7 linked regions of the Daphnia pulex genome follow. The protein of the gene in region 3 purifies or fractionates together with the protein of the main gene of each other region. This does not show direct contact. Links are inferred from orthologs where the notes say so. Each region holds a gene or a part of one and is shown on either strand. Other genes may lie near its edges.

The links.
Region 1: the proteins of replication protein A 70 kDa DNA-binding subunit-like (region 3) and DNA topoisomerase 3-alpha-like purify together in Homo sapiens (affinity purification with mass spectrometry; 4 studies listed by BioGRID and IntAct, with this or other methods). This does not show direct contact. The link is inferred for Daphnia pulex from reciprocal best matches to the Homo sapiens genes RPA1 and TOP3A.
Region 2: the proteins of replication protein A 70 kDa DNA-binding subunit-like (region 3) and SWI/SNF-related matrix-associated actin-dependent regulator of chromatin subfamily A-like protein 1 purify together in Homo sapiens (affinity purification with mass spectrometry; 8 studies listed by BioGRID and IntAct, with this or other methods). This does not show direct contact. The link is inferred for Daphnia pulex from reciprocal best matches to the Homo sapiens genes RPA1 and SMARCAL1.
Region 4: the proteins of replication protein A 70 kDa DNA-binding subunit-like (region 3) and DNA polymerase alpha catalytic subunit-like purify together in Homo sapiens (affinity purification with mass spectrometry; 3 studies listed by BioGRID and IntAct, with this or other methods). This does not show direct contact. The link is inferred for Daphnia pulex from reciprocal best matches to the Homo sapiens genes RPA1 and POLA1.
Region 5: the proteins of replication protein A 70 kDa DNA-binding subunit-like (region 3) and TIMELESS-interacting protein-like purify together in Homo sapiens (affinity purification with western blotting; 4 studies listed by BioGRID and IntAct, with this or other methods). This does not show direct contact. The link is inferred for Daphnia pulex from reciprocal best matches to the Homo sapiens genes RPA1 and TIPIN.
Region 6: the proteins of replication protein A 70 kDa DNA-binding subunit-like (region 3) and poly [ADP-ribose] polymerase 1-like purify together in Homo sapiens (affinity purification with mass spectrometry; 3 studies listed by BioGRID, with this or other methods). This does not show direct contact. The link is inferred for Daphnia pulex from reciprocal best matches to the Homo sapiens genes RPA1 and PARP1.
Region 7: the proteins of replication protein A 70 kDa DNA-binding subunit-like (region 3) and replication factor C subunit 2-like purify together in Homo sapiens (affinity purification with mass spectrometry, with the first as the bait; 3 studies listed by BioGRID). This does not show direct contact. The link is inferred for Daphnia pulex from reciprocal best matches to the Homo sapiens genes RPA1 and RFC2.

Annotation. Positions count from the first base shown.
Region 1 is NC_060017.1:7,798,498-7,803,121, reverse strand, and holds the start of DNA topoisomerase 3-alpha-like, read left to right. Parts: upstream 1-1,680; 5' UTR 1,681-1,721; coding exon 1,722-1,841; intron 1,842-1,945; coding exon 1,946-2,006; intron 2,007-2,077; coding exon 2,078-2,463; intron 2,464-2,528; coding exon 2,529-2,679; intron 2,680-2,756; coding exon 2,757-2,961; intron 2,962-3,053; coding exon 3,054-3,138; intron 3,139-3,205; coding exon 3,206-3,364; intron 3,365-3,440; coding exon 3,441-3,641; intron 3,642-3,697; coding exon 3,698-3,850; intron 3,851-3,914; coding exon 3,915-4,192; intron 4,193-4,255; coding exon 4,256-4,343; intron 4,344-4,410; coding exon 4,411-4,624. Other genes in the region: sedoheptulokinase-like, read left to right, coding at 1-1,024, 1,091-1,292. UniProt on the Homo sapiens protein: Releases the supercoiling and torsional tension of DNA introduced during the DNA replication and transcription by transiently cleaving and rejoining one strand of the DNA duplex.
Region 2 is NC_060018.1:6,032,842-6,037,230, forward strand, and holds SWI/SNF-related matrix-associated actin-dependent regulator of chromatin subfamily A-like protein 1, read left to right. Parts: upstream 1-1,340; 5' UTR 1,341-1,537; coding exon 1,538-2,091; intron 2,092-2,159; coding exon 2,160-2,305; intron 2,306-2,382; coding exon 2,383-2,531; intron 2,532-2,590; coding exon 2,591-2,732; intron 2,733-2,802; coding exon 2,803-2,944; intron 2,945-3,019; coding exon 3,020-3,187; intron 3,188-3,246; coding exon 3,247-3,408; intron 3,409-3,483; coding exon 3,484-3,594; intron 3,595-3,647; coding exon 3,648-3,822; intron 3,823-3,887; coding exon 3,888-4,076; intron 4,077-4,146; coding exon 4,147-4,275; 3' UTR 4,276-4,324; downstream 4,325-4,389. Other genes in the region: uncharacterized Golgi apparatus membrane protein-like protein CG5021, read right to left, coding at 274-339, 399-665, 730-809, 868-1,022, 1,119-1,180, 1,256-1,294. UniProt on the Homo sapiens protein: ATP-dependent annealing helicase that binds selectively to fork DNA relative to ssDNA or dsDNA and catalyzes the rewinding of the stably unwound DNA. Rewinds single-stranded DNA bubbles that are stably bound by replication protein A (RPA).
Region 3 is NC_060017.1:3,019,269-3,023,865, forward strand, and holds replication protein A 70 kDa DNA-binding subunit-like, read right to left. Parts: upstream 3,138-4,597; 5' UTR 3,014-3,137; coding exon 2,969-3,013; intron 2,907-2,968; coding exon 2,856-2,906; intron 2,792-2,855; coding exon 2,537-2,791; intron 2,467-2,536; coding exon 2,252-2,466; intron 2,190-2,251; coding exon 2,027-2,189; intron 1,965-2,026; coding exon 1,860-1,964; intron 1,794-1,859; coding exon 1,694-1,793; intron 1,610-1,693; coding exon 1,497-1,609; intron 1,430-1,496; coding exon 1,295-1,429; intron 1,235-1,294; coding exon 971-1,234; intron 913-970; coding exon 829-912; intron 767-828; coding exon 697-766; intron 629-696; coding exon 504-628; intron 440-503; coding exon 332-439; 3' UTR 152-331; downstream 1-151. Other genes in the region: ankyrin repeat and MYND domain-containing protein 2-like, read left to right, coding at 3,442-3,624, 3,688-3,853, 3,922-4,061, 4,148-4,597. UniProt on the Homo sapiens protein: As part of the heterotrimeric replication protein A complex (RPA/RP-A), binds and stabilizes single-stranded DNA intermediates that form during DNA replication or upon DNA stress.
Region 4 is NC_060022.1:1,991,713-1,996,096, reverse strand, and holds the end of DNA polymerase alpha catalytic subunit-like, read right to left. Parts: coding exon 4,342-4,384; intron 4,279-4,341; coding exon 4,007-4,278; intron 3,947-4,006; coding exon 3,833-3,946; intron 3,774-3,832; coding exon 3,593-3,773; intron 3,534-3,592; coding exon 2,928-3,533; intron 2,869-2,927; coding exon 2,729-2,868; intron 2,663-2,728; coding exon 2,448-2,662; intron 2,372-2,447; coding exon 2,107-2,371; intron 2,031-2,106; coding exon 1,850-2,030; intron 1,777-1,849; coding exon 1,674-1,776; intron 1,613-1,673; coding exon 1,543-1,612; intron 1,472-1,542; coding exon 1,337-1,471; intron 1,263-1,336; coding exon 1,146-1,262; intron 1,077-1,145; coding exon 983-1,076; intron 920-982; coding exon 768-919; 3' UTR 680-767; downstream 1-679. Other genes in the region: ER membrane protein complex subunit 4-like, read left to right, coding at 1-6, 192-309, 376-572. UniProt on the Homo sapiens protein: Catalytic subunit of the DNA polymerase alpha complex (also known as the alpha DNA polymerase-primase complex) which plays an essential role in the initiation of DNA synthesis.
Region 5 is NC_060019.1:12,256,260-12,259,430, forward strand, and holds TIMELESS-interacting protein-like, read right to left. Parts: upstream 1,985-3,171; 5' UTR 1,900-1,984; coding exon 1,785-1,899; intron 1,721-1,784; coding exon 1,648-1,720; intron 1,574-1,647; coding exon 1,375-1,573; intron 1,306-1,374; coding exon 904-1,305; 3' UTR 840-903; downstream 1-839.
Region 6 is NC_060024.1:8,492,995-8,497,330, reverse strand, and holds the start of poly [ADP-ribose] polymerase 1-like, read right to left. Parts: upstream 3,071-4,336; 5' UTR 2,913-3,070; intron 2,830-2,912; 5' UTR 2,797-2,829; coding exon 2,683-2,796; intron 2,618-2,682; coding exon 2,473-2,617; intron 2,406-2,472; coding exon 2,254-2,405; intron 2,183-2,253; coding exon 1,971-2,182; intron 1,914-1,970; coding exon 1,700-1,913; intron 1,607-1,699; coding exon 1,524-1,606; intron 1,453-1,523; coding exon 1,327-1,452; intron 1,269-1,326; coding exon 1,170-1,268; intron 1,106-1,169; coding exon 945-1,105; intron 876-944; coding exon 718-875; intron 655-717; coding exon 588-654; intron 330-587; coding exon 122-329; intron 42-121; coding exon 1-41. Other genes in the region: uncharacterized protein CG1161-like, read left to right, coding at 3,361-3,426, 3,509-3,739, 3,803-3,928, 3,991-4,134. UniProt on the Homo sapiens protein: Poly-ADP-ribosyltransferase that mediates poly-ADP-ribosylation of proteins and plays a key role in DNA repair.
Region 7 is NC_060017.1:4,125,957-4,130,098, reverse strand, and holds replication factor C subunit 2-like, read right to left. Parts: upstream 2,669-4,142; 5' UTR 2,451-2,668; coding exon 2,374-2,450; intron 2,179-2,373; coding exon 2,067-2,178; intron 1,999-2,066; coding exon 1,941-1,998; intron 1,871-1,940; coding exon 1,720-1,870; intron 1,655-1,719; coding exon 1,623-1,654; intron 1,559-1,622; coding exon 1,479-1,558; intron 1,416-1,478; coding exon 1,269-1,415; intron 1,215-1,268; coding exon 1,149-1,214; intron 1,088-1,148; coding exon 1,007-1,087; intron 937-1,006; coding exon 823-936; intron 744-822; coding exon 627-743; 3' UTR 585-626; downstream 1-584. Other genes in the region: MFS-type transporter SLC18B1-like, read left to right, coding at 1-214; zinc finger CCCH domain-containing protein 4-like, read right to left, coding at 3,489-4,142.

The sequences.
Region 1 (4,624 bases), about 4.8 Mb from region 3:
GCATCGGTCGGATTCCTAGAGATTTGCTCAAGAATGTTACAAAGATCGGCGTCTGTGGACAAATGCATGGTGTTGTGCTTTGGAATAAGGAAACCGCTTGGACCACATCAAGCAGTGATCGCTTTGAATTGGGTAAGGGTCCGTTTAGCTCACTGTACACTTGGCAAGATTCTAGGTGCTCCTTGGAATTCCTCAGCGAAGTTCCCAAACCAGACTCCCATTTGAGAATTGCATCAGGATATGGATGTGCCACACTTTTATGGAAGCTGAGAAATGAGCCAGAAGAGCTTTCGCTTTACAGCTGTGCAGGGACCATCCAAGACTTTCTTGTCTCCATGCTTTGTGACCTCGACTGCCCTGTCATGTCCATTCAAAATGCTGCCAGTTGGGGTTACTTCAACACTCAAGACAAGACGTGGAATCTAGACATCTTGAAAACTGTCGACTTCCCCATCCATCTTCTCCCGAAAGTAATGGATAGCGGATCCGTGGCGGGTACCTTGTCGAAAACCTGGTGCGGCATCCCGCGTGGAACGCAAGTGCTTACCGCCTTGGGGGACATGCAGTGCTCCGTGTTATCCACCCTTGCTAACGAGATTGCATGCACGGCCGTGTTAAACATCTCGACATCTGCTCAACTTTCTTTTCGCATGCCGGCCGACTTCACTCTGCCGGACACGCAATCATCTATCGAATATTTCCCGTATTTTGACAACCGCTATCTGGCCGTCGCTGCTTCGTTGAACGGGGGCAACGTCATGGCTTCTTTCGTTCGGATGCTGCAGTCCTGGATGCAGGATTTGGGCTTCGGGGTTCCGCAGAGCTTGATTTGGGATAAAATGCTGACCCTGGTGAAGCAATCAAATTCAACTGAACAAGCCATGACCATCATTCCGACCCTTTTTGGCGAACGTCATCTATCCAGGTTGCCCGCCGCCGAAGTATCCAACATAAATTCGGGAAATATTAGTCTCGGCAATGTGGCGAAAGCATTATTTGAGGGACTCATCACCAACTTGCACAAGTAATAAATTATCTTCTTTATTGCTAGTTTTCTTGACGGTTTGATTTTTATGTTTTCACCAAACAGCATGATGTCCACCACTCTGCTGGAACAGTACGGAGTTACCCAGTTGGTTGGAACCGGATCTGCCCTTAGTCGAAACCAACCTCTTCAACAGCAAGTTGCCGTTCAATATAAAAACATTCCATTTAAAACCGTGCAAGAAGGAGATGCATCTTACGGAGCAGCTCTGGCCGCTTTAAATACTCCACGAACGCCCACGGATTGATAAAACTAAATCAATATTTTCTATAGTCGTTTACCAGCATACGTACTTGCCATTATTTGCCAAACAAATTATCAACATTTTATTATTAGAATATTGCAACGCAAATAAGCTTGCCTTTTAAGTCATTTTAGAGACGCAACTTTACAACTTTTGTCAGTTCACCACTGGATTTTCCACATCTATTAATCTATAATTCTATAGTATTGTTTTTTAAATTTTATTTCAAATTATTTTAATGTTTTTGTGCTTTGTACAATTCTTTTCTCTTAAAATAAATGATCCACTCTTGCCTAAACAAGTAGTTTTTGTCTTATAATTTTAATTTTTAAAAAACTTAAATTAGCTTAAATTTTTTAAGCGACGCATTAGGTTGGCGGAGAGAAGAGGCTTCCATATTGGCGGGTGATCTAACAAAAGGGATGGGAAGTCATGTTATTATTTTCTCATTTCAAATTGTCGGGGATTAAACACGTTTCTTTGAATCGTTTAGAGTTTACTAGATGTTGTAAAACAACTGCCGTATCAGCAGAGTCTTGTAAAATGGTCCAGGTAACATGTCGCAAGAATTGGTATCATCCTTGTACGAATGATGTTACTATTTCCTCATGGGTATTGAACGAAACGTTCGTCTCAAATTCGATGTTTATCTGTAGGTGCTTAATGTAGCAGAGAAAAACGATGCTGCCAAAAATATTGCTGAACTTCTTTCTCGCGGTAATACTTCACACAGTCACAATGCTTAAGCTGCCAAATGTAATAGGATTATATGTTCTTCATTACATTAGGTCGTGCAAATCGTAGAGAAGGCCGAAGCAAATTCAACAAAATCTATGAGTTTGAACATAATCTTTTCAACCAAAATGTCAAAATGGCAGTTACTTCAGTAACTGGTCATCTTCTATCTTCTGACTTTGTTGGAAATTATAAAAAGTGGCATGGGGTTAATCCTGTTACTTTGTTTGAAGCTCCAATTCATAAATTTGTTGCCGATGACTATCAAGACATCAAAAGAACTTTGGAGGAAGAAACCAAAAAGAGCAAATACCTGATCATTTGGACCGATTGTGATAGAGAAGGTGAAAATATTGGCTATGAAGTAATCACAGTATGTCAGGCAATCAAGCCTAGCATTCAAGTGTTCAGAGCAAAGTTCTCTGAAATAACATACCAAGTAAAAGGCTAACTATCTTAATGAAATTTACAATCTAATTCCATTTGTCTAATTTTATTTTATAGTCAATTGCTCGAGCACTTCAAAATTTGGGCCCCCCTAACAAAAATGTCAGTGATGCAGTGGATCTTAGAATTGAGTTGGATCTTAGAATTGGTGCTGCATTTACAAGATTTCAAACTCTACGACTTCAAAAAGTCTTCCCAGGCTCACTTGGTAAGTGGATTTGTTGGCTGTATCAAGTCTACGACAAATAAATTCAACATTTCAATAATAATGTTTAAAATTTGTAGGCCAATCTATGATCAGTTATGGTTCGTGTCAGTTCCCAACTCTAGGCTTTATTGTCGAGCGATATAAAGCCATACAGGATTTTGTGAGAGAGAATTTTTGGAAACTCAAAGTTGTCTGGGAGCTCAATGAGGAAGAGCGCGTTGAATTCCTTTGGAAAAGACACCATTTGTTTGATCAAACAGTGGTTCAAATACTCCTTGAAAAGTATTTGTTATTATTATCAACTAGCATTATCAACTAAAATTCAAGTGTTATTAGTTTTGATTAAATTTATATTACTATGATATTGATAAAAGATGCCAGGAGAACCCTGAAGCTGAAATAATCAAAGTTCAAACAAAGAATAAAAGCAAATGGAGACCTTTGCCTTTAGACACTGTTGTATGTGAAATTTTTTTGTCTGGTCTATTTTTCCGCATATAATTTTACATCACGATTTATGTCATAGGAACTTGAAAAGCTAGCATCCAGGAAACTGCGAATCAATGCCAAGGAAACGATGAAGATTGCCGAGAAATTGTACACTCAAGGATTCATCAGTTACCCACGTACCGAAACAAATATCTTTCCCAAAGAATTGGACCTGACTCCTTTGGTCCAGTGTCAGGTATATCATGACAAACTTAACTATTCGTGTTCTTGAATTATAATCATATTGGTTACGCTAAAATATTTTGCATTAGACGGTTGATCCTGCTTGGGGAGGATTCGCTCAACGCGTTTTGGACGAAGGGCTGAACCCTCGCCAGGGGAAGAAAAGTGATCAGGCCCATCCTCCCATTCATCCAACAAAATATGCAGGAAATTTAAATAATGAGAATGAACGCAAACTTTACGAGTTTATCGTTCGCCATTTTTTAGCTTGCGTCAGTAAGGATGCCCAGGTATGTTGAGGAATTTATTTTATTTCCACGTTCCGCTAAGTTTATGGTTCTTACAGGGTTACGAAACGGTGGCCGAAATCGAAATTCAAGAAGAAGGCTTCGTCGCCAGTGGATTGCAAATAGTAGCAAGAAACTATTTGGAAGTATATCCGTACGAGCGCTGGAGTGATCGTAGTCTTCCCCAACTCAATGAAGGCCAGCGCTTCATCGTATAAAACTTAAACATTTCCAGGATATTCCGGTCAAATACTAATTGTTGTTTGCCTTTTATAGCCGACATCGATAACCATGGATGAGGGAGAAACTAGTCCACCTCAACTATTAAGTGAAGCTGATTTGATTTCATTGATGGAAAAACATGGAATTGGTACTGACGCCACACATGCTGACCATATTGAGACGGTCAAATCGCGGCAGTACGCTGGCGTACAAGGCGACGGACGCTTCTTACCTTGTTCATTGGGTATGGGACTCGTACAGGGTTATGACGCCATGGGGATCGCGCTTTCAAAGCCAAATCTCAGAGCTGAACTCGAGGCTGATCTTAAAAGGTTGGAAAAATTAAATTAAAACCTAACCCCGTCCTAGTATTAATTGCACATTTAATCTTGCAGAGTTTGCGATGGAGAAAGGAATCCGAATGATGTCTTGAGAGAGCAGATTGAAAGATACAGAAGGGTGTTTGTACAAGCAATGGAACAGGTAAACTTGTTTTCACGAATGGTTGCCATTTCAAATCAAGTTAAAATAATTACAATAACCACAATAGGTCATCAAAATCGACGAGGCTCTTTCGACATTCTTTAATGAGGAACGACAGGAAGCACCACCGATGATTCCTGAGGGAGGACCAGATGCAAATTTGCCTTACCGAAAGTGCCCTGCTTGTAACTTGGACATGACTCTGCGACGGAAAAAGGACAACAGTTTCTTTTTCTCTTGTATGGGCTTTCCTGAATGTAAAACCGCCGTCTGGCTGCCAG
Region 2 (4,389 bases), on a different chromosome or scaffold from region 3:
GGGGACCTTCGGGTGATTGCAATTTTTTATATTGGCTTTCTTTATTCGAGATCTACCAAACATAACTATTTTATCATACTTTTAATACACACACAAAGAAGCAAGTTTGTACGCCTGATTTTACTTAATGTTTCGTTAAAAATAAGCTGTAATACCAAGGTTTATACAAGAACAAAGAATGTATTGAACTCCGGGGAATAAGATTTATATTAAAATGAATTAACTGAAAATTGGAATATTAGTGGCTGCGATAGGGTGCGATACATGATTCGTTTAAATAATGTTGGTTGCAGAATTGACGTTTGAAGTTTGCGCTTGTCGGGTCAACATGTTAACCGCCTAAAGGAGAAAGATAATTTAGTTTGTTTTATCCAATGTACGACAAGAATTTGGTTTACCTTATCCATAACTTGCTGACGAAAGAATCCGTTGGCGTAATTCGAAACGGCCCCAGTTAGGTTTGTGCCTTTGCCTAACTTACATCGCAGATACCCATACACATTAGCTCCATTCAGAGAAAGAGCAATACAATCTAAAACTAGCCAACGAAAGCTGAATCTGAATATAGCAAGAATGAAGAGGATGGACCATACTAGAGGGAAAACAATTAAACCTATCCAAAATACTCTAGATTCGGCAGCATGCACTTTTCGTACATCACCTTCCTAAAAAAAACAGAAAAAATGTATTTGAAAAAATGTAAAAAATTATTTTTTCATCATGGTATACCTTTCGTGCCTCATAGACCCAGTGACTCTTGCCTTCACCATCAACGTAACTCCACCACCTGAGCCCTACCAAGATCCTTCCTGCAAATGATGTTCATAATTGAGTAATATTCAATAATACATTCATATGGTGAAATACCTGTAATATTTTTTACAGTCCAGAAGTCTAGAGAGAGTAGGATAACTGTGAAAACAAAACTAGTAACAAATCCATCTGAGAACCAGCCACAGAAAAGGTAAACAAGGAGAGCAGCTGCTCTGAAGCCAAAGTGGAAAAGAACTACATAAGGATGCCTATTTAAGTAAAAGATAGTGAGTCATTAATAAATTTAATGAGTATTATTTTTTCTGAAACCTGAAACGTCAACATCAAGATAGGATTAAACTTACCGGAACTGTTTCGGATTTTCTTCCTCTCCAAATCCAGGCGTGTCATCGTCAATTAACGCGGCCTTACATGACAAATAATATACATTTTAAATTGTTTTTAAATAAATGAATTTGATTAAAAATTGTTTTTAACTTACATTGGCAGCAGACGAAGCCATGGTTGCTGACGTTGACATAAAGAAGTTGCGTTTTTGGCCGCTTGGACTTGGTTTGTAAAGATTGCGCACAAGAGACGTAAGAAACTGGCAACGTTCTGTTATGGTAATTAGGTGTTTTTTCAAAGTCCTCACTCCCTTTGATGTTAGAGATTTAGTTCTAGTGGACCGATTAGCACGTGTATTTGCATAGTTAGATGGTTATAGAATAACACATTTATAAGAATTCTATTTCTTTGATATATTTATTAAACCTAACTAAAGATGCCTCTTACGCCCGATCAAATAAAGTTGATGGAAGAAAACCGTCGTAAGGCTATTGAAAAACGTGCTGCTGCAAAACAAACCGAAACGAATCAAGTAGTTACAAACAACAATAGAAGCAATTTTTCTGCTGGGAGTTCAGCTGTTTTAAGACCTCCTACCCCTGCAATTAACCCATCAGTTGGAATAAGTCCTTCAGGTGCTTCTTCGTTTTATTCAAGACCTCAATATTCGGGGGGGAAATCCACTTGGAACTCTCCAGGTTCTTCTAGTAAATTTCCACCAAAGAATGCTAACTCCGGTTCATCAGCCAGTTCTTCAAGACCTACGGCAACATTTCAGTTGATCTCAAGAAGAAAATTTTGTGTTGATGCACCATTTGACAATGAAATGATAGAGATATTTAAAAAGTTCCCCACAAAAAGTTATGATGGAGTTCTTAGAAGATGGACTTTTCCCCTTTCTGATCATCAAAAGTTGCTGGAGAGCCTTGATCCATTGCTAACAAGATTTCAATTTCAGCCATTGCCAAAGTTTGTTTTGGATATTTTTAGGTAAAAAGATTGCATCCATATACTTTTCAAATAAAAGGTGTAATCAGGATTTCCCTTTTAATTTACAGTAATGCCCCATTTGAAAAAACGATACCTGAAGTTGATATAAGCAGCATAGACCCAAAATTGTACGAGTCTCTACTTCCATTCCAAAAACAGGGCATTTGCTATGGAATTCATTTGCAAGGAAGGATCCTAATTGCTGATGACATGGGTATTCTTTTAAATTAATCATTAGCTAAGTTTCTTCCTTTTTATTGTATTTAATTTCCTTATGTCTTCCTTTTCTAGGCTTGGGGAAAACTCTGCAGGCATTAGGTCTTGCACATTATTATCTTGCTGATTGGCCTTTGCTCATTTTAACACCATCTTCAATGAAATTTGCCTGGGATGAAGCAGTTAAAGTATGGTTACCAAGTGTCCCATTACATCATATACAAGTATGTGAAAAGACAAAAAAAAATGAAATGTTCATTAGATCAACATTACTTTTTAAAAGGTTATTTGCTCAGGAAAGGATTACATCGACAAAGAAGTTTCAGTAACAATTTGCTCATACGACTTGCTTACAAAGAAACTAGACGAACTAGTAGCAATGAACTTCAAAACCATTATATTTGATGAAAGCCACCTCGTAAAAAGTATTATCATTTTATTTTTTAAATTTTTGTTTGAGAGTTTTTTTTTTTAACTACCAAGTTTTAATAATAGGCGGAAAATCAAAACGAACTACCGCTGCAAACTCTGTAAGTGCTGAAGCAAAGAGGGTGATTCTTCTATCTGGGACTCCGGCATTATCTCGCCCTGAGGAACTGTATAGCCAGCTACAGATTTTAGAGAGGAAACCGTTTGGGTAAGGAACTTTGCCATTTATTCAAATTCAGGAGTTTGAACTGTAGTCAACACAATTTGCTATAATGATGGTTAGACACTTCCATGCTTTCGGATTACGTTATTGTGAAGCCAAAAAAACAAAATTCGGATGGAATTATGGTGGAGCAACCAATATGAACGAGTTACAACTAATCCTTGAAGAGAAATATTTGATAAGACGTCTTAAAAGTGAGGTTCTTTCACAGCTGCCAGCAAAACAAAGGTAATAAATAGCAACAATGATAAAATGATGAGTAATTAATTATCAATTTTTCATTTTAGGCAAATGGTTGTCCTTGATCCTAATGCTGTCAAATGTCATTCGCCCTCAATGGATACGTTGGCTAAAAACATGACAAAGGAACATTCCAAACCAATGGAAAAACGGGGTGTTCTACTATCTTACTATTCCGAAACGGCAAAAGCCAAAAGCAAAGCTGTGTGGTAATTTTTAGAAATGTAGCTACATTTAAACAAAATTATACTTATTTTCCTGTCTTTCCCATCTGTCTTTTCCAGCGACTATATTGCAGACTTATTGGAGAATGGCAAGAAATTCCTCTGTTTTGCTCATCATCAATGCTTGTTAAATGACATTAGTCGGTGCATTGAAGAAAAATCTAAAGCAGGGTAATAGACCTTATAATTGAATTTTATAAATTTTAATTAACGTTATTTTAAAGTTACATTCGGATTGATGGATCGGTCTCTTCGGACGAGCGGAAGAAGTTATGTGATGTTTTTCAAAATAAGGAAAGTGTTCGGGTCGCTGTGCTATCGATCACAGCTGCAAACACTGGATTAACTTTGACGTCAGCCAATCTAGTCGTTTTTGCTGAACTGTTTTGGAATCCCGGTGTATGCTAAAAAAAATATTAGAAAGAATTCAGAATTTTACGTAAGCCGTTATTGATTTCATACAGGTCTTAACTCAAGCTGAAGATCGCGCTCATCGTATTGGTCAACGGGATAGCGTCGTAGTCCAATATCTAGTAGCAAGAGAAACTGCCGACGATTATCTTTGGCCCCTTGTGCAGAACAAGCTGGATATTTTGAGCAAAGCTGGACTCAGTAAAGATAACTTTCATGAAGCGGATACTAGATATCTCTCCGTAAATTCCGACGAGCCCCTTCATTGCATTCTATTTCTATCCCTTATTTATTTATTTTTTAATATTTCAGAATGCCAAACCGGCCCAGGCTTCCATTATTGATTTCTTGGAAGAATTGTCGAGTGAGGATTTGTTGGCACTGGATGAAGCGGAAAAAAACTACGGCGAACCGGAGAGCAAAAGGTCTAAAGCAAACTAAGGCAAGTTTTCGTTAAATTCTCAAGTAAGGCAAGATTTCGTTAAACTCTCAAAAAAAATTTACGGGGCGGTTGTCGAAATTACAGGGTCAAATTGATGAATTTGAAATGAGAAT
Region 3 (4,597 bases):
CCCTCTTTCCCTCTTCACTTCATTGTAGAGCAGTGAGAGCTGCACTGTGATCTTCATTTATTTTCATTTCTATCTTTGCCTCTCTTGATGGTTGAAATATTTCATTGCACATGAGCTGCGAAAAACAATACATTTGCAGTTGTCTGAAAAATTATTTTTTGTAATATCCATGTTTATTTTGCAAATCATTTATTATCATGTTACACACACGGTTTTTCCGGGATCTCGATTTGATTCACAAGAACAGGAATTCATAAAGAATTGTTCCTGTATAATCCGAAAATGAAGGTTTTTTATAAGTTTAATAGATAAGGAGCAAGGGAAAATCCATTCATTCTGATGCAGCCATTTCTTTCATTTCTCGAATCAATCGCTCGTTGTGCTCTTTATAGTTGATTTCCTTCACTTCATAGACATTTGTTTTGAGGCGGCTTTCATCCTAAAGAAAAGGTAAAAGCGTCAACAGATAACAAGATCGAAATTCATAATGCTCATAGACTTACATTGTACGTCTCCATTTTCACTCTCAGGCGGAAGACATACCACTTAAAAGTAGCTTCTTCGAAAATTTTCTGAAATTCGTTATTATCCGAATCCTTCAATCTACCGACCTCGTCTGCGGATTTCCCTAAAATTTATAATCAAATAAATAAATATTATATGCTAAACGTAACATTAGTTCGAAAACAAAATTACCAAGAAGAGTTTCAGCGGTTTCTTGGAAGCAGGTTACCCATTGCTGGTCCGTGGCATCCGCGATATTGACCTATAACAAATTTCGAGTGCTGTTTTGAGAGAAATAGATTTCATAAAATATCTTTGTCATACCGAAAGCATCATGCGCCATTTGAATTCCTGGAATTCGCGCTGGCATTTCTCACATCGATAGAGGCCATTGTTTTGATCGATGACCTGCGGGAAACGCAAATATTGTCAAAAATGAGTTGTTTTATTATATATTTATGTTTACCTTTTTGTTGCATTCATCACTGGGACAAGCCATGTACAACGCTCTTTCTTTGTTGATCATAGCAACCATAGCCTTAACACTGTAGAAATCAGGTTTATCTTTTCCCAGGTTTTCGAATTTTGCTTCAGCGAAAGTCTTATACGACCCACCACTACCACCAGTGCCAGCGCCACGACTCGCCGAAATGCTAGAAGCGGCCGATGATGAGCCACCGTTATCGTACCACCCTCTTAGTTTGTGAGCTTCATTCATGTCAGGATTGATCTATTAAAAATATGCGCTGTAGAATAGTAGAGAAATAGAAAGTCTTACATTTGATTTTACCTGCACGACAGTAGACGAGACTGTTCCTAGAGAACGACCTCCAAAATCAGAAAGTTTCACTCCTTTTAATGCTACAACAGGCTGGGAGCTAGCGTCAAATTCCTCGCCCATTTTTCCCCATAAAGTCAAATTAACCTGATGTTTGAAGACAAGAATGATTAATTAACTGGGCTCGACAATTAAACGAAGAATCCAGTCATACCTCTGTGTTGGTACTGTCCACCATCTGAACTTCTCGCATCCTCAATTCTTTATTTGTCGTTTTGGAAACGATAACGCGGACGTCATTTGCTGACTTAACCACACCAATGACATCTGAAAGCACGGTCAATCGGTCATATCGTAGGCACCATTCAAATAGAAGAATTGTAATGTTAATGCACCTAAAAGACAACTTACCAATAACACTGTCCTTGTCCAGGCTAGGTAGCTGATCAATGGGAACAAAGTTGAAGGAGATTGATGGGATATCTGATGTATCATCGTGGCAAGGAATTACCTAAAAAATAAGTAAAAGAAAAAAAAATTGAGGCTGGTACGATTGACGATTGAAAAACATTCATACTGTAGTATTTTGGTTGAACGACATTTCATAATCGTTCCTCATACTGCTGTACTGTTTGTTTGCTGCCTTCAGTTGTGCTTGTGAAATGTAAAAGATCTTGCCGATCTACAACGAAAAATAACAATGTAAATAAATAACTTCAAACACTGTTTTTGAATTAAATGTACCTCAATCATGTGGTAAAACTTGTCACACTCGGCATTGAATGCAGTGGCACGGATTTCACCAGTCTCATCCACCATGTCCATCGAGAAAAGCTTTCCTTCACCTCGAGAATTGCTCCACGTACGGATATCGGACTTGTTTATAATTCTCACTTTTACAGTCCACCTACAAACAAGCAAAGTTAATGATTCAATTTTTCTTGTACTGAAATTTCTCAACAAACATACTTGTTTTGGTAGGGTGTAAGGCTTACAATCGGATGGGTAATAATGTCAGACTTCTCTGTTGGCTGTCCATATCCACCAGTTTTGTTAGGTGGTGCAGACTTCGATCCCATATTGTAATTGTTCACATTTCCTAAAGGTGCAGGTTTTGCTGCTGCCTCTTCAGTAACCTCTCCAACATCATTAAGAGTCTGAGGGTTTCCTATTTTTTCTCCAACCTAAACAAAAAATGTTCAAAATGAAGAGATATCCTTATTTGTATTTCGAAACTAAGTAAAGTGAACATACTTCACTTCCAGGCACAATTGGCTCAACATCCAAAAGAATGATAATTTTCTTTTGGTCCTTGCCTGCAGTTGCCTTAGTAGCAACTTTGTTAACAACAAACTTTTTTACTCTAATGATGGTAAAGTTCTCAAGCTGACCATCCACAATCAGATGATTTAGTTGTGTTGCCAACATTCCATATGCATAGGAATACTTTCCATCAGAGATGAGAATTCTGTAACGGTCATTATTGTCTCCCTGAAGATTTTTGTAACCCTATTGTAAGAGAAGAAAATGTAAAAATGCTGCAAATGAAGAAAAAATCTTGCTCGTTGCTTACCAAAACTTGTAGAATTGGAGTTTCATTGTGCAGGCCATTCCCAATGATGGACTATGTCGAAATAAAGATATTTATAGTTTTATTCAAAAATTCGAAATTATGATTGATATTACCGGAATTGCGCCGCTGGTTAGTGCTGGGTGATTTCTTCTGTTCATTTTACGGAACCTTTTTTAACGGGGATTACTTCGTTCAGTCAACGTGCTTGAATTTTTTTAAGCAGTTTTTACGGACAAGACGACGAAGTGCGATGGCGGGAAAACAACAGTGGTACAAACGAAACCAAGGCTGAACGTGCAGCGTTGAATGTTTAAGAAACTTTTTAACTCAATGAAGACCACTAAAAATATAAAGAAGAAAAATAATGAAAAAGTTTTTTTTCTGAAATAAAGGTTCATACGAAGCAAAAATAAGTTTTCGTTTTATTCGCATTTTTGGCGTTGTTGGATTTTTTGTTTTTCGAAATGTCCGGTTGTTATAGCAACAGTTGCAGACGACAACGGAAACTATATCGTTATATGAAAATTTGTGACTGAATTATTTGATTTCCTTCAAAAACGAGTTAATTGCCAAAGAATCTCGAAAAATGATTTCGGAAAACTTTATTAAAGCTATTGACAAGATTAACAACAATGATACTAGTGGTTTGCAAGAACTTATAAAATCCCGGGACGTTGAAATTGACGATGAGGATGAGCATGGAATGACATTACTGCAACATGCCGCTTTTAAAGGGAAAAAAGATATTTGCCAGTTGCTCCTTGACCTGGTAAGTCTAACTATATTATCAATGTTGTTAATTTGATTGAAAAGTTGACTTTTTTTCTCGAAGGGAGCTGATGCCAATGGAGGTCATCATGAACACAAGTATACTTCCCTTCATTTTGCAGCTCTGTCTGGAAATTTGGATATTTGTCAACAATTACTTCAGTGTGGTTGTAAACCTGATGTGGTTAACTCAGTAGGCAGAACTGCAGCTCAAATGGCTGCATTTGTAGGTAGGCTAGTCAATCATAATGTTTGTACAAATCATCCAAAACTAAAATGAATTATTTTGGCAAACCAGGGAATCACACAGTTGTTTCCATCATCAACAATTTCATTCCACGCTCAGAAATAGAGCAGTACACTGTAGCTCCTAGCGATCAAACTGAGCCAAAATTGCCACCAGCTGCTGCACCAGCTTTGCACAAATTTGTGATGCAGGTTGTGCACTTGAATAGACACATCACTTCATTTCTTATTCTGCCACGGAAAAGCACTTGAACTTTTTGTTTTGTTTGATTTATCAGGTCAATCTGCATCCAGTTCACCTTTTGTTGACTATTCAAAAACTTCCTTTGCTTTACGATAACCTCACAAAAGTGAAAAACGTCTTGGAGATACTTAGCGAAAATCAGATGAAGCGCAGCCAAGAAGTCAACGAGATCCTCGCACTTAAATACCACTATTTGCGTTTCCTAGTCGAAAGAATGGCCAAAGAGCAGCAGCAGCACCCCGACAAAACCGTTTTGGAGTTATTAAATCAATATGTTAAAGCATTTTTGAAGCAACGTCAATCCGATGGTTTTCCCGAGTTTATGGACAACTTCATCCGCGAGTCGATCCGCACTTTCCCTTTCAAGGAGACGACCATCTTCCGCCAGTTGCTGGTCAATCTGTCCAAGACAAAAGAGGAGACTCCACTAGCTCTCAATCTTCTCACTTCCTGCATCAACGGTCAGCGTGGATTTCAAGATGAC
Region 4 (4,384 bases), on a different chromosome or scaffold from region 3:
AAACAGGTTAAAAACCATTTGTTCTGTTGTGTATTTTTCTTGCTAGAATTTATGAAAAAAGATAATAATTGTAAGGGAAAAAATTGTAATTTGAAAGAATTATTCTGTTCGAATATTTGATAAAGTTCAGTCTTGTGCCTTTTAAAGGTTAATAAGTCTATAGAATGTAAATTTGTCTGTTTCTGAAATAGGTACCTATGAATTTGTTCATGATGTACATGGTGGGAAGTTCCATTTCCATATTTCCAATTATGATGGTTGGCATGATGTTTGTGAGGCCCATTCGTGCGTTGTTCAGCATGAACCAAAGTATATTTTCACAACTATTATTCAAACAAGTCATACCTTTTAAATACAGTATAATTTTTTTTTCAGCTTTCAAGATGTTGGAGGGAACCCAGGCAATTGGACAAATCCTAGTCTACATCTTGGGCCAGTTGGTTGCACTGGGGCTTGCTCTTTACAAGTGCCAATCCATGGGCCTCCTTCCTACTCATTCATCAGATTGGTTGGCTTTTATTGATCCTCAACAGAGAATTGAATATTCTGGAGGTGGACAAATTCTGCTCTAAGATTAATTATTTAATTCATTAAAATATTCACATTTGTAAGTGAAATGAAAAATACAGTACACCAAATCATCTTTAAATCATAAATTGTACAAGTTGCTACAGCCAGCTGTAAAAATGACACGTAATTTATTCAAAACATTCATATTTTTATAGCGAAACTAAAAATTAGCTAGTCACATTCTATTAGTAAAATATTTATGTTTCATTTTTCGGGCGGTTAAGACCATAGAAGAGACCAGCAAGGTTTACCTGTGAATATCCACTCTCTAAAAGAATCTGATTGATATTATTTAAGAGAGCCTTATAAGCTTTATCCATGGAGTTATTGTACGCCAATTTGACTTTATCTTAAAAAAAAAAGAAGAAAAGTGAATGAAAGATAGAACAATATGTAGTGAAAATAAAAATACCTCGTTCGCTTGGTTGAAGCTGACTGATGGCTTTGGATGCGTCAAACATGTGTTGGTAGTAACACAGTTGAGTGTATAGATCCAAATCATTGTACTGTGATCATCAACGAGTATTAATGTCTCTAAAACTCAAAAGCAAAATAAAGCAACGAAAAAATAATACCTCAGGATCCATGTTGCTGGTTCCACATCCTATGCAAACGGGATGTGTATTTGTGGACTTCAACGGTATGCGCCTGGTTCTTGTAGCGCAACTTCTGTCTTCACATACTAACCAGCCCTATTTATTTATTTTATTTCATTAACAAAGTAGTTAACATAAAATTTCTAACACAATATATCCGAGTTATTTACCGCATAATAAAGTTGAATGTGCTTTCTAACGGTATGCGTCAAACGGTTGACGAGAAATTTTTCCGCACTAAATGGTGTCTTCTTGCAATTGGGATTTCCACACCGAGACAACGCAAACTCGATGTTGCCGTCGTCCTATGTAACATCGACCAATAATAAAGCTTGATAAATTTAATCATTTCAAGCAGGTAACATATCCTACATACCGTTTTGCGGAAAACGTTGTCCATCGACATTTCAAAACCACAAGCCTTGTCAGAGCATTGGTAATAAAACCTAGACGTTGAAATTCATTTGTCAAAGATCCATTTTCCTGATTAAATTTTATGAGTCTTACTTTTCACATGATTGAAATCTTTCTTCGTCAGTCACCGGAGGACTACCAGTTTCGTATTCGTTGCTGGCTGCTTGTGTCGATCGATATCCAGAAGCATCGATGCCTGCACAAATACCATTTATTAACTCTCGCGGTCTCACCATACAAAATTTTAAATAATTACAATGACAACTTACCAAGGAATTCAGCAATTCTAACAGCGTCAATTCCTTCTAGAAGGTCGCACAATCGAGAAACAACTGGATGAACTTGTTGTGCCAAATAATATTGAATGTCAGGCTTTAAATGCCCATTTGTTGGCATCTTGAGTTCCTCCATGGAATACGCTCGTTGAGTGGCGGCCATATTGCTTCCGTCCTATTTCACAAGTTTGTTCATATGTTTATAAACTTTGTTTTTATTGCATTGGCAATTCAATCGAGTCATTAAATACCTGACAAATGATGAACGAAACTGTATCGCCTTGTACAAGTTTCTTACCACCCCGGGAATTTGTCCTGATTGCAACTTGGACATGAGAAAGATTTTTTGCGTCGGGGTAATTTTCTGGATTCTTAGTTAGCTGTTTGGTAATCTCTAACAAAGAGAGATCAATGGTTCCGTTCTGAAATCCATCACGAATATCTTCTAAATTTTGTTGAATCCGAGCGATTCGTTCATCTGCCGATAAATCACCTAATATTTGTTCCAGTGCGTACCTGGACCAAACCAAATTGTAATAAATAAATATAGATGCTGTCGCTAGCCCAAAGAATCAATACTGAAGATATTTACTTTCCAGCCCGAGTAGCAAGCTGCGACCAGTCTCTTCGTACAATATCCAGACCCTTGACCTCTTGTTGAGTAACCATTTCTTTTTTGTTATCACGGATCACCTGAGAAACTGTAACGGCTGCGTATTTCTTTTTCTTCAGCAAAAGTAAGCGCTGGAATACCCCATCAATGTCGAGCTCAAGGTGTTTGTACAACTTATTGACTTCCTGTTTAATCTGAACAAAACAACAAACAATTGAATAAAATAACATTTAGGAATAAATTCTGCTGATAATGGTTACCTTAAGACCCACTTTCATGACTTGATCATAGTCAACTGAATTAGAATCTATCATTAACGAATCAGTGTCTCCGTAGATGACGTCCAAATTCATTTTACGGACAAGATCCCTAGTCTGCAGTAGAATCTCACGTCCTTTGGCTACAGAAAAATGCAATGGAAATTAAAATGCATAACGTTAAAGCTGAAATGTAACTTACATGTAATAAGCGCGGCCAAAGGTTTGGCGTAAAAACGTGAATTGGAAAATCCCAGGCAGCCGTACATGCTGTTTGCCGTCAATTTCAATGCTTTCTGTCTGATATCATACTGAAGTAAAAGATCCTTAGATAACTTATCGTTGATGAGCTTTTTCACTTCACGTCGACTGTCAACCAACTTTCGAATTTCAGTAGGCAAAATGCCAAGGGGCAACGTCGGATCAGGTAGGTCGGGAAGAATTTCTTCTTGTCCTTCAGTTGCTTTAGTTGCTACTTGTCGATCGACAGTGGTAAAGCATATATTGAATTCTTGAATAATGCTCGGGTACAGCGAGTTGAAGTCCATTAAAAGAACAAACTTGTCGTAGAAACCTCGCTTGGGATCCAGAACCAAACCACCAGCATAGGCTGGTTTCCGACGACCTTTCTTGCTACGATTAGCATTTTCAGTCGAAACATCCTCAGGATCAGAATCTTCTCCTTTCTTTGATTTTTTAAAAGCCTGCTTATCTGGAACGATAAACCCCTTCTCGTGAAATGCATGGAGCAATAGATACTCGTTGCGTTCTGAACGACCTCCCAGAAGAGTTCGAGAAAGCAAGTTTCCTAAAATATTAGAAAAATTTGCATAATTCTTTTCATTAAAATCGATTCCTTCGAATTACCTGCAATCGAAGTAATTTGCAAAGCTAAGGGAAGGACGTTTAATTCATACATCAATCTTAGTGTGTTCGCGCCATCTTGCATAGTAATGGCTATCATTCCCAACAGACTGGTTGAAGTCGAGTACATCTTTTTAACAGAATCTGAACTCAAATCTGGGCGAACTCCGTTTAAATGTAAAACCTTATTGAACAAGACAATGCATTAATTGAGATGTATAAGGTGTGGTTCAATTATCAAACCTGTTGACACAGCGTTTCGAGGTCGTAGCTCCTTGCGCGTATAAGTTCTTTTGCCGAAATCTTCACATCACACACCAAACGCCCACTCATGACAAGATGACTGCGACTGACACCCTTTAAATTTTTTTATTATTATTATTCTTACTTGAGTGTTAATCTAATGTCTAAGCAAACCTTAGACATAGGCATATTGGTGCGACGTAGTCGGCCCAGACGAGACCACTGATCTACTTTGTTCTGGGTGAAACGATGGAGAAGTATGTCCAAGTCGTAGGAAGCTACATCGTGCCCGACAATTACATCGGGGTCGATTTTGTTAATTTTGGCCAGAAAAAGATTAAGCAGGGCTCGTTCGTTCTCGGCTAGTTCTATTTTCGTTAGTTTTGTCGTTTTCATGGTATCGCGATGATCTAGTGGCCAAGGTTCTTCAGATGGACGGCCTACAACTACGAAAATTGATTTTTTTAAACATGTATCTTCATTCAATCGTTTCCATAATTGTAGCTTACGACAAAAATGCTGTTGAAACGGAGGTTGAGGAGCAGCACGGTC
Region 5 (3,171 bases), on a different chromosome or scaffold from region 3:
TTTGACGAAGATGCACGTAGGCTACTACCGGCAAAGAAAATAAATCCAACGAAGATCCGATTATGAGTAATTCAACCTAAGCAGAGCAAATGACGAATTAATATAGGTTAGCACTCGTTCTGCCAGTATCTAGAAGAATATTTTTATAAATGGAAGAGATATGCTTTTCGTCAAAGGCCCATTTGGAACGATTTCAAAGCCATCAACGCATCGTTGCTGCCTGCTGGATGCGTTTACTGTTGTGGTTTCCCTTCCTGTATCCGGTTTTTTTTATTGAAACATAACGTCAGAACGTCAGATCAGATATCGATATTATTTGCGACGGTTTCAATAAAACGTAGCGGCAAAAAAGGACAGGGCGGGGTATCGATAAATTTTGGGGGGATAAAGACGGAAAAGTGTTTTTGAAGCGATTTTGAAAGGGAAAATAGCGATCGGCAGCCAGCAGCCTAGTTGGAACTTGGAAGAGTAGGTCGATAACCAAAGAACTGAAAAAAGGAAAGAAGGTCTATAGGGTCCAAAGCTCGGCTGTATCTCTCATGTTTTATTTACATTTTTTCTTTGTTTCCCTATTTTCAATAAAATGGAAAATTCTATCAAGAAATATTTCTTATTTAGTTTTTACGGAATTACTACTCATTTAAAACAATTATTTCACTTTGACGTTAATCCCTATTTTGGCCTAGAGTGATTGTACTAACTATACAAGAATCGATTCCCCTCTTCGTGAGAAATTTCGTTGCTTACGTTTTTATAAGATTAGACGAATCTTGTTGCTCTAGGGATCTTGGTAAATTATTTAATAATTCACTTATGAAGAAACTGAACATTCAACAAAGTTTTCCACAAACTTCACATTTTTATTTCAAAGTACAATTGAGAAGAGAAAGTGGGATCAAACTGCTAAGGCAAATTTTCAAGAAACATGTCAATATCCAAAATTTCAGAGTTGTTTTCATTAGTTTCAGCTGTAGTTTCAGATATCACAGTATCCACTGTAGCATTTAACTCTGGCAATATTTTAGAGGTAAAGCTCTCATTTGAACAAGTATCATTTAAATTGGAAGTATTAAGCATCAATCTTGATTTCCGTTTTTCTTCAGCTTTTCTTTTGTTTTCAGCCATTCTACTCTGTTGATCTTCAGATATATGAGTCAGAGACTGCGAAGGTCGCGACATCACAGTACTAAACACATCTGTTCCTCTTTCAGTAATGTTGTCAAATTGTGCATCTGTGTTTTCCAAAGTTTCCTCGATTTCTTGTTCAGTATCTAACATTCCCATTCGAAATCGTTTCATATAGACCTATCATACATGTCATAACATCAATTAATGTAGGTTCAACCAAATACAGACAAATTAGATTAATAATACCTGCACAGATTTGTTATTCCCAAGTTTTGCAACACTTTCAATGCAATCATCAAATGGTAGTTTAGGAAACAATCGATGAGCCCAGTGTTCCATTTGAGAGAGAACCGTTTCAAGATCTGATTTCTCATGACCTTTCCCTTGCAATTTTACATTTTTAAAATTCTGTATGACAGCTGTGATTCCTCTTGGACCACATACTCTGTTATTCCAATAAAAATGTTGATTGTAATATAAAAAGTAATAAAATAAAGTGAATTAATAAAGGTGTAATACCTGTTTGGATCAAGCTTTAACTGCTGACTCCTTACTAATTTACGTGTTTTGGTTGTTTCTGACTTTTTGTCCCCTATAATGAAAATAATGTAGGCTTTAGATTGGAACTTATTTTTCATAAGACTAATTACACTTACGTTTTCCTTTATCAGCATCTACTTCCCCATTCTTTGAGTTTGAATCATTTTCTTCGGCACTGTATGAGGTTTTTTCGTATTCTCCAAATATATCATCAACTTCTTGATCACTCATGTTAAATTCAAATTGTTATTCGTTTGGGCCGGGAGTGGAGTGGAGTGGATAAAGTTTGGGGTTGAGAGAATGCGGGATGGATGTAGTAAACTGCGGGGTTGTGTGCGGTTTCTGATGAAATCGATTTATTATTAATCGATCCGATCGTGGCATGACGCAAACCCAAATTCTCGCGGGAAACGAAATAAACCATTTTGAAATTTCAATTCTTTTGAAACTTGATTCTTGAAAAAAAGACGCTTGATTTCTTAAAAATACAGCTATTTTGACAGCTATTCATTTAAAAATTCAAAATGCGTTTGAGTTTTAATTAAATGGACGAGATATGAAGCTTTTCGTCAAAGACCCATTTGTAACGAATTCAAAGCCATCTTCCTATCGTTGCTGGATGCGTTTACTGTTGTGGCCCCCCTTCCTATCCGCTTTGCTTTATTGAAACATAACGTCAGATCACTTATCGATATTATATTTGCGGCGGTTTCAATAAAACGTAGTGACAAAAAACTCTGTTCCAAAAAGATCCTCGCCGCCAACAGGGAGCTTCTCTGCTGCACGGGAAAGTAAGCCGATGTGGTTTGGGTGAGTCTGGGTGAGGATGTTGAGACGTCTGGAGTGGGTAATCTCACGGAAAAGATGGGCCCAGAGAAGTGACAGCGTCTTTAATGCTTTGGTGTCCTTGTCGCTTCTCTTACTTTTCCTCTCAAGGAGAAAAAGAAGAGGTTTGGCCATGTCCAGGACGACGTCCGTCTGTTTCCGGTACACTTTTTCCAGCTGATCAATGTTGGGCATCGATGCATTGGAATTCTTTGTAGATTTAAGGGCCGCGTAAAAAGTCTCGTCCAATTTTGGGTTCGTGAACAGCTCAGAGGCACTGATACTAGCCTTTTTGTCACGTTTGACGTCAGGCCTGTACGCCTCTCTAGCCGCCTTAAGGTTCTTCTCACCTATGCCCTTCACAATCCAATTGGCGAGGACCGACGACTTACGTTTGCTAACTTCAAACCTTTTCGACTTTAATTTAATAATGTCTGAAAAGGTGCTTGAAAAAGATTTAGATGATGATGCGGAACTCGAAGATGAGTCAGAGTCGGAACTTGAACTCGAACTCGACTTACGAGAACGCTTTGACTTACTATGCTTAGCCATGCTTGCTATGCTAGAGCAAAAAAAGATCTGAATAGTTTAAGCGCGTTTGGAACCTCATAGGCTTCACCCACACCCTCCTTTTTCTTTCTTTAGTATGGCACTGTTGCCATACTTCAAGTCAAGCTT
Region 6 (4,336 bases), on a different chromosome or scaffold from region 3:
TCGTTGTACCAACTCGACCCCAAGCACGGAATACATGCCACCTGTCGAATTAAAAAAAAAAAAAAAAAAAAATTATAGTTGTTATCTACAATTGCCACTGGGGGAAGCGAAGCCAATTTACTTGTTTCCTTTGTCGTGTTCAAGAATTTGAAGCTTGTAGTAAGAATTTCTTCCACCTTGAATGTCAACGATCCCAAGTACAACGCTGTACAGACCATTTTTCGTCTTCAGGACATGTGCTTTATCTTCCAAACCAGAATCGGGATCAACTACTCCTCCTCCTTTAAGTTTCAGCTTCAGTTTATCGGACATGCCTGAACCAGATTTTTCTGCAAACGAAAACACAATTTAGTTACGAGATTCAGCTTCGTTTTTAGCGTGAAATAAATCAACAAATATGTTAGTCGCGTATCTGTCTATGAGGGCAGACTTGGATCCCTTCATAGTCATCAGACGACTCAATTAATTTAGGATTGAGTTGTGACCTTGAACTTGATTTACTTGCAAGTTTAAAGCGTATGACTCCCCCATACTTATACTACAGTTTTTACTGGGAAACATTAAAAGTAATAAACAGTCCAACCAACCTGAGCCTTTCGATTTTCCAGAAGATTTCGTGGCACCCGACTCGTCCAAACCAAGACGCTTCTCGATCTAGATTTATTACAGTTTTTAAAAAATCTCAAAAATTAGGGCAATAAAAGAAAAAAAATTTACACTGTGGCAATCCCATGGTGCGATGTTTTTCTTCGTTATAATGGATGAGGCAGATTCGCCAGTGCTTGCTTTGATTGCATCCAAAAAGCTAAGGTCTACAACATGAATACCGAGTTCAGACGCTTTCTTCAACTTTGAATCCTTTTCTTTTAAATTGTCTGTAAAACAGTAATACCACATATAAAGGCTTAATCTCATAAGAGAAACTACCCACTCAAATTTCTAACCTTTCGTAGAAATTACGGCTGCAATTTTTTCGGTAACGCGCGAACCTACAGAACCTAGTAATTTTTTTATTTCAGCTTCGACTTTTTCTTTAGACTTTTCAAGCTTGGAATCAAGAATGAATTTCAAGCCTTCTAGTGTGGGTGGGCGTTTCGAATCGGATCTAAAAGAAAAAGAAAACATTAATAGACAGAACTAGCACGTTATCTAGTTGAGTAAATAGCTACTTTTCTTTTTTCACGTTCACTTCTTCGGTTGGATTCATACGAATAGTGCGAGTTAGCGCTGGGATTACCCTCTGTCCGGGAACATATTTGTACTTTTTCCTATAGAAGAATGAAGTTTAGAAAGTAACTTAATGTATGGCAACAACAGCCTTATTACAAAAATGAGTAATTTTCCGAGAGGTCCGATGGAACTTTGAATGGTTTCCTTTCGGGAGTTGTTGTCGAGTTGGGGCACTTCGTCCAGCCACTCATGTTTCCAGAGCATTGATAACCCATGCCACTCCTGTTGTAGAAGAAGAAGTAAATCTATATAGGTAAGGCTTACCGACTTGAAATTTCTATTATTTTAATCACTTGTAGAAAAACTGTCCACTTTTGCATTCATTGCATGGAAGCAAAGCTCCAAACGCCATTACATCGGCAAGAAGGTCCAACATCTAAAAAGATAAATAGCTGCATATAGTTTAACTATGCGACATATTGATTAACACTCAGAAGAAAATAAAAATATTAATAAAAAGTGCAAGTACTTCAGATGTTCCAGAAGGAATTTGCTGATCGTTGTATTCCAGCAGAATCTGGAGTTCTTGTTTTGTCAGAGTTTCCAACTGGTCTCTGTATTTAAACTGAATTTTATTTTGCTTCTTGATCTCTTCCTTGAGCTGTTCATTTTCTTTTTCTTCTTTCTTTATCTTCTTTGCATCCGAAGGTCCGTCGACAGCATCCCCGTCAACTTTTCGTTTGCTGAAAAAAGAAACCGTTATAATACATGATTTTCCAAATTTCGATTCTTGTCAATACTTAGCGGAAAGAGCAGGGAGTTCTTTTGAGAGAACTTTTTTGTCGTCGGCAGTTAGATCTTTAAATCCAGGGATTGTATCCACTCCGCTAACAAATTCTAATTCTTCTCGTCGCTCTTTAAAACATTTGACGTGGTACCACATATCCAACATTTGTCCATGTCTCATGCCTCCTTTGGTGTCGTATCCTTTCTTTGATATCCTCAATTCATCCTACAATTTGAACATTATAGACATGTTTGAACATGGATCGTTTTAGAACTTGCACTTAATGATTATAATACTTTTGCAATTTTTTCTAAGCAGCCTCGACATGCAGCTCTCCCAGATTTTGCATACTCAATTAGAAAATCAGAAAAGGGTTCAGCAACTTTAGCTGTTTTCCCCTTGCCTTTTCCTTTTTTACTTGGTTCAGCAATCCCACCTTCACTGATTTCTTTGGAAAAAGGAAATAGTTAGAAATCAACTAAATACAATGTATAGCAATATTAGTAATGTTTTACTTTTGAGCATCTGATTAATTTTCTCTTGATCTTCCCAGCGCAATTGATCAAAATGTTCAATGTCACCAGCTGATTTGGGCCGTTGCCTTTCAAAAAAGCAATCAAAGTGGTACCACGAAACCATTTTCCCATCAAATTTGGCAGCCTAAAACAACAATACTGTACTAGTGTACAAAGTCCAGAACCAAACAATAAAAAATAAAATGTTACCTGAAAGATTACAGCAAGTCGTAGAGTGCCTTGAGGAATGTTTTCTTTGCATTTCTTGCAACTAGCTCGACCCGTCTTTGCATATTCTGCTCGAAAAGGTAAATCATCCGCCATCGTTTTCTTCTGAAAATGAACGTCCCACGATTTCTGGGATTTCGGAAAAATCACAAAAAAAAACACAATTAGCATTAGCAGTTCATAATTTTAAATGAGATTGAAATGGGCCATACCTATATATTCCAATTTCCAGTGCACTCAGATAGTTTGAATTCTTGATTCTTTTAACACAATCTTTTCCACTACTTCGAGTACAACGTCCTCCAAACTTCGCAGTTCGCACTTCGCAGCCGACAGAGTTGGGCACGTTTTTAGGTAACAGTAGAATTTCGAGATGGCGCGCTAGGAACAAAACAGTGTTGTCAGATGGGGGCTCCTAAGTGGCGAAAATGGAGAAAAGTTTATTTAGAACTAAAAAGAATAAGTAATTAAATTTCAATTCCACAGTAACGTTTAAATTTTTATTGCTGTAATACATGTTTAACGACCCATTTCCTCTTTGAACAAAAACAATGTTTCTTTTTTTTTTTAAATAGCAAACCAGTTGGCGCCACAAGCTGTGGTCGACAGTCTGTCAGCTGTTTTGTTTCCGACAAATCAGTATCGGATTTTGCTGCAATTATGACACTTCGAAAGAGTTTCTTTCTTTCTTTTTTCGTCCTTTTCATCTTCTCATTCATCAGTGATGTATTGATTTTTATGTTTACTATTAAGAAAACATTGCTTAGAAATTTAATGATTTTGGTTTTGTTTGTTTTTGTCCTAATAGGTGAATGCACAGTATGAGGATGTCAGATGCAAGTGCATTTGTCCAGATACCGCCGTAGTAAACGGAACTCAGTCACATAGAAAACTTTACATTGAAAATGTTCCACCTAACAAATGTGATTGTACAAATGTTGTGCTCCCAAGGGTAGGGGATGATATCAAAGGAAAGGAAAAAGAATTTTGTCCACGATGTGAATGCAAGTACGAAAGCAGGAACACAACAACAATCAAGGCAAAAAAACTGTTGACATAATGTATTGTAGACTATTCTAATATAAATTTTTTTAAATTTCAGGTTGTTGTAATTATTGTTATCTGGATAATATCTCTACTAGTCATATACATGCTGTTTCTTGTTTGTCTTGATCCCCTTCTCAACAAGAAAACCACTACACAATATCAAGAACATAATAATGAAGAGGTATTCTATAAATTTCTCCCTTTTCTTCCTTCAATCATCTTTTTAACTAATTTATCCTACAGGATGAAAGTGAAACCCATTCTCAACCTTTAAGGGCAAGTGGAGCAGGTGTGCTCAACCGTGTTGGCCAAACTACTGATAAGTGGAAGAAAACTGTTCAAGAACAACGTCGACATATTTATGATCGACACACTATTCTTAACTAATCACTTTTCTAAATTCCAATTCTATGATCTGTAGATGTTTGCGCGTTTATTCTTATTCTTATTTCAAATATTTCATTCACCAACGGAAATAAAAAAATTAAAGTCTCATATCGTAGAGTTTAAGATTCTTTTTTCATTGAAAAATATCAGAGGGAATGTAACTTGGTAGGATACATTAGTAGGTTGCTGTAGGCCTACTAAT
Region 7 (4,142 bases), about 1.1 Mb from region 3:
TTTGGCAGTTGCACTACTATTGCTGTTAAATATGTTAACATCCATTGCTAAATCAAAAGCCGCAACTTCCAATGCGCAGCTCTCATTATCAGAAGATGGTCTACCCAAAGTCGTGCAAGTTGGAGTCACTTCCGCTTCCGATGATGTCATCATCGGCGAAAACGAACAGCTCATTTCCAACTCAGATTCTAATCATACATACGGAACTTATTAAAGTAAATAATTTTGTTTCTTTTGAAGTATTTTGAAAATAACAGATTTTTGAAATGACAGATTTTTCCTTTTTGGTTGACAGCAGTTCTGCTTTTACGTAAAATCTGCACAAATCTCGACTTATTAGCTTAGTTTTTTAGACAAATGGATTGAAAACCCCATGTAACAAACCGAGATTTTTTCTGAAATTATCCTTCAGGGCTGGTTTCAATAAAAATGTTATCAAAACCTGCGTTTCTTCTTGAGTTTCTGAAACTGAAGTGGAACGCAAAATAGAATCAAAATAAACATTATTAATAAAGCATGTTTCAAACTTACGTATTTTTAAAGCAACTTCCACATCTTTAAACGGAGGTTTAAAAAGATTACAGTCTTCGGCAAGCATTTATTGACAATTAAGAGAATGAAGGAAATCAATATGATAGCTTTTCAGGAGCAATAACTTTTTTGCATAGCCGCGCAAGAAGGCCTGACATCTGCAACAAAGAACCCATTCCTTGGGCAATTTTCATGTGGGTCAAACCAATTTCCTTTGATGGAAAGATTCACAAACCAAAACATTTCAATTCACGACCAAAGCTGTAAAAAAGAAAACATTGAACAACTTACCTGAATAAATTCAAGCATGATGTATTCTGGAATGGTATGATTTCTGCAAACTCGAAACACGCTTGATATGATATCTTCAGCCGCATAACCCAGTTCATACAAATGAGACATGATCTGCATTTAAAAATTAAACAACGAGTTGCAAAATTATTATTCCTTTTATCGTAACTAGTAATATACACACCGTATACGCTTCATCAATTTTCCCCTTCACGCAATGGTCAATCATATCTTTAATGAGCATTGGATGAGGTTCATCACATACCTGTTAATATGACAAAGTATTAAAAGAATATGTATAGATGTCTTGATCATGAATAGCTTACTTTGAAAACATTTTCACTGTTTACGTGGTCAAATCCTTGCACAGTTGACTGCAGATTATTTAGACCCTAAAAGTAAAATTGTTAACAAACCTGATTCTAACTATGTAATATTTAACACACTTGTCGCAAATCTCCTTGCGCAGTAAAAACAATGGCTTCCAATCCGTCATCAGTATGACTGACTTTTTCTAATTTACAAACTTCTATCATTTTTTGAAGAATTTGAGCATCAGTTAGCTTCCCGTATCTAATCATGGCGCAACGACTCTAAAGAATGAGAATAAAAATGATAATGAGAGAATAAATATAAAAATGGATGTCATTGCCTACCTGAATAGGTTCAATAATTTTTTCGCTCGTGTTGCAGGCCAAGGCAAATCGTGTTGTTTTACTAAACAACTCCATTGTGCCTGTCGTTTGAACGAAAACATAAAGTAAGTAAATATTCTAAAATATTCTAAAATTTCACTTTACGTCGGAGAGCCTGTTGAGCGCCTTCAGTCATGCTTTAATGAAATAAAACCAAATTTTAATGTTAATACAATTAATCACAGCAATATTTGATTAGTACCTGTCTGCTTCATCCAGAATGACAATCTTTTGTCTGCCTTTAGGCAAAGTAACTTTTTGCTGTGCAAACATTTTGATTTTGTTTCTCACAATATCAATTCCTCTTTCGTTTGATGCATTCAGTTCCAAGACAGCCTCTTTGTAGTTTGGGCCTATAGCAGTTATAATTATGAAAATTAAATCTGAGTTATATCACTGACAAAAAATAAAACAAGTCAATACCAAGTAAAGTGCGGGCTAAACATAGGATTGTAGTGGTTTTCCCTACACCAGGAGGACCCTGAAAAAAAGTTTATAAAACATTTTGTAGACTTGAGAGTTCAAATGACTAAATACACCTTTACTTACAGCAATAATGATATTTGGAGTATTTCCTTCTCTTGCAAACACCTCTAATCTTCCAACAGCATCCTCGTTTCCAACAATTTCTCCAAAGGTTGTAGGGCGGTATTTTTCAACCCTTTAACACAATAAGACAGACATTGTAACGAATAAAACATGTACACAATTTGAATGAAGTGAATAACTATTTCAACGTGAAAATATCTGTAATGAAAAATGAAAGTCAAGGTATCTATACTGATAATCATTTTCAATTACCAAAGATAGACTACTGTTGTTCACTTGTCTAACTACTGTGAAAACTAACAATTACCATGGCATATTATCCTTTCTTCCACTAATTTTTGAGGAATCAACCAATGTTGTATCTGATGCTCCATCAACTTCCATTTTATGACAACTATAATTTCTAGTTAAGAACTCAAAAATGGCTTATCTTATATTTAGCTTTAGAATTTGAAATATTGAAAGCACTATTCTGATTTCAAGTATATACTAACTGAAGGTTATGTATATGTTAGCTGCTAACTCTTGTAAATCGTGTCTGAACTCTCAGCCGCTCTTTTCTATTTTTCTGTCAGAAGAGTGCTTCACATGCAGTGTTGCTAACTACTCTCGAAAAAAATAAATGAAGTAATATGTATTTTTTAAATAGTCGTAAAACAATTTTTTTAAGGAAAAATATATTTTTCGTTATTATTTAGATCCATTGGTAAATACACCAAAATTTTACGATATTTTGGTTTTTCACATTCCCCTGGCCAGACATTTCAACTTTCAACAAACCAATAATTTGGCGGGAAATGTCTGTTGCCAAACAATTTTTTCTTTCTTCGATCACACATTTTCTTTCTAGAAACCTGGCAACGTGACAGTAAGAAGCAAAGAGCGCGATTCAAACAACCAAAACCTTGGACGTCCGTCTTGGGAGTCCCAAGAATCATACGTAATCCAAAATCAATGAAAGCAAGATAGAAACGCAATTTGGTGCAGTAATAAAAGTAGTAGGTAGTAATAAAAGTGTATGGTTACCTTCTCACGGATTGTACAGATTGCTTATCTAAGTCTACAGGATCCAATACATGTTATCAACATCAAAAATGAACATATTAAATCGAGAAAAATCCTGGTAATTTAGCGGATAAAACGAGTATGAAATGAAATAATGGCTTTTCATCAGAGGACTGAAAAAACAATGCCATAATCGTTGATCGGATAATGATTATGTGTATATCAAACAAATGAGACACGGTGGAATTGTGATCCAATCAAGCGTAGAACATTATATCGCTGTACAGTTCCGAACAATCCAAGTATAGAAATGGTTCAGCCAAATATTCTTAAGCAAATGTCAAGACCCTTTCAACTAATTCACTCAACAAAATACACAAGTTCGATTGGAGCGTCCCACATATAAATCATAAGAGCTTAACGGAAGACTCGCTCATTCGGAGGAGGGGTGTACGATCTCTCCGACGAGTCGGCAATAGCTGGCGAGTTCTTTTGTTGGCGTGGATCCCGTTGGCGCGGATCCCGACGGTTTTCGACCTGTCGTGATGGCTGATTCAATTCATCACTAGCATTCCGATCGCCGTAAGATGGGTTGACGTTCCGGAAGTTAGCGTAAGACGTTTCTTGCGGCAAAATATCTAGAGAACTTCCTTTCGGTAGTAAAGGAAGCATACCCGGTGGAGCAGCTCCTAGTAGTCCAACACCTCCGGAAATGCCTCGCTTATCTGGGAGCATCGACGTCTGATGTGACTGTGGGGCAGCTACACGGCGTGGATCCCGAGCCCGCGGATCATTTGGAGCCGCTCGTAGGGGGCTGTAAGTTGATGGTTCTGGCTCATAATGCCGGATGGGAGCTGCAACGGGAACAGGATCAGGACTAGCCGGGCCGAGTGGTATTGCAGGAGGGTCGGTGCTTGTAAAATCACGTACAAAAGCACTTCCCTTTTGCTGGCGTGGATCTAAATGAGCCCAATTGGCCTGCACTCGTATGAGACTGTAATCGAGTGGGATGTAATCAACCAGCCACACTTGATATTCCATTGGAGGTCGAGTGGTGATGGAGGCTTCTAT